2 separate regions of the Mus musculus genome follow, and region 2 is reported to be linked to region 1. Evidence: microRNA targets listed by miRTarBase, many of them from high-throughput screens and not tested one by one. Region 1 holds a microRNA gene; the other region holds the end of a gene's coding sequence.
Evidence for each region. Region 1 holds the annotated microRNA mmu-let-7c-5p (UGAGGUAGUAGGUUGUAUGGUU, at 1,184-1,205, opposite strand). A microRNA usually pairs through its seed, bases 2 to 8, with sites in the 3' UTR of a target mRNA and lowers its output. Matches are read on the target gene's strand: a 7mer-m8 pairs with bases 2 to 8, a 7mer-A1 pairs with bases 2 to 7 and ends in A, and an 8mer does both.

Region 2: the mRNA of Gnl3l is a reported target of mmu-let-7c-5p. Seed matches in the 3' UTR shown: 7mer-m8 at 1,147-1,153.

Annotation. Positions count from the first base shown.
Region 1 is chr16:77,597,463-77,600,876 of GRCm38, reverse strand. Mirlet7c-1 (microRNA let7c-1) reads right to left here and starts at 1,220; the gene lies at 1,127-1,220. Mir99a (microRNA 99a) reads right to left here and starts at 1,941; the gene lies at 1,877-1,941.
Region 2 is chrX:150,983,390-150,986,803 of GRCm38, forward strand. Gnl3l (guanine nucleotide binding protein-like 3 (nucleolar)-like) reads right to left here. Exons shown (of 16, transcript NM_198110.2): 16 at 1-2,797. The coding sequence ends at 2,715. Among named protein-coding and RNA genes, the nearest start is that of Gnl3l, 32 kb to the right of the region's middle.

The sequences.
Region 1 (3,414 bases):
CAAAGAAAAAAACTGTTCTAGAAAGTCTCATTTACTTTTATTACGTGCTAAGATAATATGCCTTTCCTTTAAATAAAAATGTTTCCAAATTTTAAAATTGCATTTTACATCCTTTTGTAATCATTATATTTCATGACCTGTTTGTGGAGCTCACAACATAAAAAAAAAAATCAGTTATTTGAAAAATAAAGATTATAGACGAGAAGAAAACCACATAAAATGTAAAAATCCGAGTTTTAAAATTATTGGAGACTTTTAAAGCAACCTATAGTTGAAATTGCTATTAAAAAGAAAAACACATTATCTGGAAAAAAGATATGTAAATGGTTAACATAGATATGCATTATTTAAAACTAGAGACTATGCTGAAGTAAGCAGTAACTTCATTCTACTCTTTACTCCAGAGAGAAAGTATTCCCAAATTTCAAATTGTATATATAGAATAAATCAAAACAGTAAAAAAAATCAATATTTTACTGACTCAGAAAGAGTCTGGAACTTAAGGTTATGAAAATTTAATTGGGTCAATAAAGGAATTTCAAATTTAAAAAATCTTAACAGAGTGAAATCTTATAGCTCATTTATTGATCCTGTAAAAATTTACTGTTTAAGATGTATAAGTACTAAAAGAATACAATAAAAATAAGACGTGTACTTTGCCCTCAAGGGGCTTACAGTCTAGTGTGGAAAATATAAGTAAACATATCTATAGGTATAACATAAGATAGAAAGTGATGGGTCATGAGAAAACTCAGACAATATATGATGAAATTTATTAACATTTAAACATCTTTCTGTAGTGTCTAAGTATGAAATTAAAAAGGACCAATAATCTATTTGAAAATGCCAAATTTTGTGATTCCATTGATGAAAGAAACCAAAGTTTCAATATTAATGCAACTTAATTCACTACCCATTTGTTCTTTAGACTGGTAAACACAAAATAACAGCCCGTGAGAAATAGCGTTGTGTCATTGCTTACAAGTAGACACAAGCAGAATCCTAACCATCAGGTCTGGAATGATCAGGTAATGCATTAAGGCCTCATGGACTCATGACACATTACTTTCTTGAACAGAAATTGGCTCAGTCAGATTAAAGAGATGGAGAATTCCTCGATGGCTCAAGTGTGCTCCAAGGAAAGCTAGAAGGTTGTACAGTTAACTCCCAGGGTGTAACTCTAAACCATACAACCTACTACCTCAACCCGGATGCACACAGCTTCCAATGTTTCTTCAAACTCCTTATCATATCTTCAGTCCGCTCCTCCAAATATGGCGGCCAAACACCTAAGGGCTTGGCAAGGTTGTAGATAGAATATTCTAGCAGTTTACAAATCAACTTCAGTTGTAGCTTACAGGACTACCCTAATCTGGTGAGTTTACAGTATAGGTCACATGAAGTGTCTTCTAACATCTCCTTGACCACACTTCCATTAGCAGCGAGCAAATTTAAAAGTAGAATAATGCCTTGATTTTGAAGAGAAACTGGCTCAACTGTAACATAATAATCTAGTTATAGACTTTACTATGTTGTTGAAATAGATAAGACACATTAACCATCAAGAAAAAGTGTGCCAAAGTTTCATGACAACAGCTATGCAGAGTTTGCTCAAAGCCAGCTATTTAAAAACACCAACCTTTTGAAAGCAGTTTATTGCACTTGTATTTAGCCTTGAATGGCTCTGCTACAAATCCTTCCAGAAAGTCAACAATTAAAACTTGCCTTGTAAGACATGAGAGGATTAAAAGATCCATGAAGAACAATGGAAATGCTATTGTTCCGAGGTTGTGTAGAGGACTGGAGTGTGAGCAGGAGTGTATTGAGATGTGAGTGAGCAACACTTACATAGTGCTTTGTCAGATCACCACACTGCCACAGACCCATAGAAACGAGCTTGCGCGGTCCACTTCACCACAAGATCGGATCTACGGGTTTATGTCAATGGGCATCGTCTCACAGGGACCTTTTACTAACGTAGCATTTGCTCTGAATATCTAACAGAAGAAGTAGGGGATAAAAATAAAATTAATATCTTAGTGTAAATATTTTAAAGGCTGGACTCTCAGAATGCATATTCCCAGTAAAGGTCTTCAGAAATACACTGACTTAAATATAGGGTTACAAGCATGAGGATTAAAAAGTAGTTTTCAAATCCATCCTTCCTTCCTTCCTTCCTTCCTTCCTTCCTTCCTTCCTTCCTTCCTTCCTCTCTCTCTCCCTTTCTTCCTTCCTTCCTTCCTCTCTCTCTCCCTTTCTTCCTTCCTTCCTTCTTTTCTTTCTTTTTTTTCTTCCTTTCTTCCTTTTTCTTTTCTTTCTTTCTTTCTTTCTTTCTTTCTTTCTTTCTTTCTTCTCTCCTTCCTTCCTTCTTTCCTTTTCTTTCTTTCTTTCTTTCTTTCTTTCTTTCTTTCTTTCTTTCTTTCTTTCTTTCTCCCTCCCTTTCTTCTTTTCTTACTTCTCTCTTTTCTTCTTGATTTTTTCTTTTTTAAAGATTGCTTTTGTTTTAAACTGTGAATATTTTAACGTTGTTGTTAAAATGTCCTAATTGAGAACCTAATATATGTACATATGAATTATACTGTTGTGAGGCACAGATATAGTATGATAAGTCTACAACTAAAAAGGAAGTTATTAAACTGTATATGCACTAGAGTGACTGTATTTATTCACATAAAACTCAGTTAATGATTTTTGAGATTTAGTCACATTATAGCTTTTTATAAACAAATGAGGTCTTGTTGACTAGGTAAAGAACACAAAACCCACAAATTCTAGATGTACAGACATGTGCCTACAGTGGGGATGAAATTAAACTTTTACAGCAGTGAGGAAAAGATATGGTATCAAAAAACCCTAAAATCAATGACATGATCGGTGTTATTCCTGCTATTCTGGAATATTTGTAGTCGCTTATATCACACCAAGGAGCATACATTCCCTTTCAACAAAACACATTTAAATCTATTTCCCAAGAACTATATCCTTTCAACAAAATACACAGCTACATATAATTCCTCTGTTCAACAGGTTGAAATGAAATAAATGATTCTTAATTCTGTCAGCTACTACACTGTAAGAAAGCAAGCCAGTAAGCACACATGAAGCCAGTTACATGTACATTTTTAGGATTCTAAGCTCATCTGAAGCAAAATTATAAGTTGTACAATCGTTAATCATTGCACTCATATCTAAAATGATTTAGCTTTTCTTAATTATATCTTCATTGTGAAAAATAATACTGCATAGTAATTACTTCATGATTTGGCATGTTTTGAAATAAATAAAAATAGAATGTATTTTCTCCAGTTTAATACAGATAATTTGGCCTACACAAATTTTCACCATTATTTATTTTCAAATCATTCTCCTACTTATTAAAACTGTAGTAAATAATCAACAATCATGCATCCAATT
Region 2 (3,414 bases), not on the chromosome of region 1:
CTGTCAGGGAGAGAACAAGGTTTGACTATAAATTACCAGGAATGGTAAAGGAGAGGCTAATAGAACTCTTCTGTCCTGTATTAATGATTACTCGGCTTTATCCATTTATCCGAGCTTATACAACTGCATCTAACTTCAATGTAAGATCTAAAAGGAAAAAGCTAAAAGCTTAATGCCATAAAATAAGCCCCCGTGTGACTTACGACACTTATATTAAGGAACAGGAAAGAGGTCTGTGCCTGCTAGGATTTGAGGATGGGGGCAGGACTATACTACAAGAGGACACAATAAGTTTGGGGAAATGCCACAAAATTCTCTTATCTTGATTATGATGGCAGGCCACCCCTGTTAAAAGGTGTCTAAATAACCGGGCGTGGTGGCGCACGCCTTTAATCCCAGCACTTGGGAGGCAGAGGCAGGCGGATTTCTGAGTTCGAGGCCAGCCTGGTGAGTTCCAGGACAGCCAGGATTACACAGAGAAACCCTGTCTCGGAAAAAAAAAAAAAAAAAAAAGGTGTCTAAACTTACAGAACCATAGAACCATGAAGGATGAGATTTATTGTATAAAAATGATTTTTAAGGGGAGAGTAAAGACCCAAGAAATTGTTTTAAGAACAAAGAAATATCCAGGCATGAAAGCAAACACCTGCAATCCCAGCACTTGGAAAGCTAATGGGGGGGGGGCCTAAAAAGTTCAGGACCACACTGGGTTATATGGGGGAAACTCTCTCTCTGTGCGTGCGTGCGCATGCTACCCCCAACCTTGAGATACATTAGAGTTAGAATATCTAAAGTCCCACATTATTTTGTTTCGCCCTGAGACTGCCTCTTACTCTGCAGCCCAGGCTGGACTCAGCTTCAGACATCTTCCTGCTTCAGCATTCTTAGTGCTTGGAGCACTGGTGTGAGCCACCCACCTGGTTTTAGTTCTATTTTATTTTGACATGATTATGTTCCCAAGAATCTAGATACTTTTATTTCTAATATATTATTGTCTAGCAAAACTTAAGATGAGATCAGTGAATTAAGTTGGACATCATTTAAAGAGACTTAGAAAGCATAGTTTTTCAATAAATACTACCATTTTTTAAAAAACAGAGCCGGGCGGTGGTGGCGCACGCCTTTAATCCCAGCACTTGGGAGGCAGAGGTAGGCGGATTTCTGAGTTCGAGGCCAGCCTGGTCTACAAAGTGAGTTCCAGGACAGCCAAGACTATACAGAGAAACCCTGTCTCGAAAAACCCAAAAAATAAATAAATAAATAAAAATAAAAAACAGAGTAGAGAAAATATATTTTAAATATATGACAACAGAAAATACCAGAGTGGTGTGCCCTTGTTGAAAAGGCAAAATAATGCAAACCAAAAGGCTAGCATAAGGTTTAAATTAGACTCAAGTTTGACATCTAGCACACCACCACTTACTGTTGACATGAGCACATTCTGTCGGCTTTCTGAGCCTTACCCCTTCCTGATACGGATATAGTGAAAGTTAAAGGTGGTAACTGTTTCTCATTGTTTAGTAGTTTGTGCTCAGCCCCTAACCGTCCAGAAAACAGGTACGGTCTACATTTCCTGAACATCCTGCAGCCAATGGCTTTCCAACTTACTATGATAGGTATACCCTTTCTAGAATCGTCATCCTCTACACTATCCCCAGACACTTCCAGAGACAGGAGACTCACACTATCCTTCTCTACTCCTACACTACCCAGATGAGGAGCTAGCTATTGATTTGGAAAATACACAGGCAAGAGCCTTGGCACTGAGATCTTGTAGGGTGATAAAAATGAAAAGGATCACCCATCCAGGGACAACCGCCACCTCCCCCGCCACTGCTACCAGGTTTCTCAGCAGTCTAGCCTTTAGGACATTTACCTGTCCAAAAGGTTAACCCTTATCAGCCTAACTCACAGGGTACGACACAGGAATTTAGAGTCCAAGGTACATTGTCAGCACTTGGACTCTGCTTATTTGCTTTTTAAATAATTACAAATTCTTTTTGTTGTTTTATTGTTCACTTTTCGAGACGGAGTTTCTCTATGCAGCCCTGGCTATCCTGGAACTTGCTCGGTAGACCAGGCTGGCCTGAAACTCACGAGATTCATCTGCCTCTGCCTCCAGAGTGCTAGGATTAAAGGTGTATGCCCAGCTGGACTCTGCTTATTTGTTTTGGGCTGTTTTGTTGAGAAAGGGTCTTGCCAGATAGTTCAGGCTGGCCCATAACTTACAGTCCTCCTAGCTCCAGTCTCCCAAGTGTCAGGGTTATAGATATGTTGCCACCATGCCAAGAGTCTGCTGATTTTATTTACCTTAGAAAACACAGTGGGAGCTGGGAATGGTGGCAAAAGCCTGTAATCCCAGTACTTGGGAGGTTGAGTAAGCAGACTCCCCAATGATAATGATGGATGGTAATGATGGTAATACTACAGCTTGGTAATAGAATGGTTGTCTAACATTTGTGAGAACCTATTATGTTCAATCCCTGGCACCACAAAACAAACACAAGGTCATTTTCAAAGACAGGAAGGATTAAGTAGAGGGTAGTAGGGTTTGGCAGCTCCAGACCTTTGATAAGAATGGAGGGCACGGCAGCAGAAGATACATGACATGGAGGTGTTCTCCTATTAAGTACATCAGGGAGAATGGAAAGGCATCTGGACTCTCCCATCGCACGGGAAGCAGTACTTGCAGTATGAGGGGGAAGGTCAGCTGCTCAGTCACCTGCACAGTCATCGGAGTTGCCAGAGAGGTCAAGCATGGACATCATGGAGTCAGACAACTTAGTGGCGATTTTATCTGTAGAGGGAGAAATACAGGCAATCTCTGGGTAGCTGCCTTAGCCAACAGGCCTGCCACACGTAAATAAAATCACTAACTTGGCCCATACCAACCTCCAAATCGGCTCAGTTACACGTCTAATCATTCAACAAAACAGGCCATTACACCTGTCAACCTCACAAGGAGATCCATTCACCTATAAGTGATCACCCCAGCATAGTTTCTTTCTCATGATTTCAGACTCGAAGGATTCCAAGTATTTTTGTGTCTTCTGAGTACTAAAATAATAATTTCCTTCTATTGTGTGAACTTAGCATTCCTCCATTACCCCTACCCACCCCCAAACAATCACTCATAGCAATGGAGTGCACACTAGTACTAGCTTTGAACTTGAGTGCTTACCACTCACAGTCTCATCCTCAAGATACACTTGTTCCTCGGGGTTCCCTGAGACTTCTCCAGACTTCTCCCTCTTCTGATCAGCCCTATCTCCAAGCTGGGCTAAGCTTCCTAGAAGTGCTTATTGTGTGTGTGACCTCACGGTGACTGTTCTACACTGCCACTGTTTGTTTTGTCTCCTCTATACTCTCTAACAAGACTTGGAGTTTAAGGGCAAGTCGCCCTTGGATTCCCAG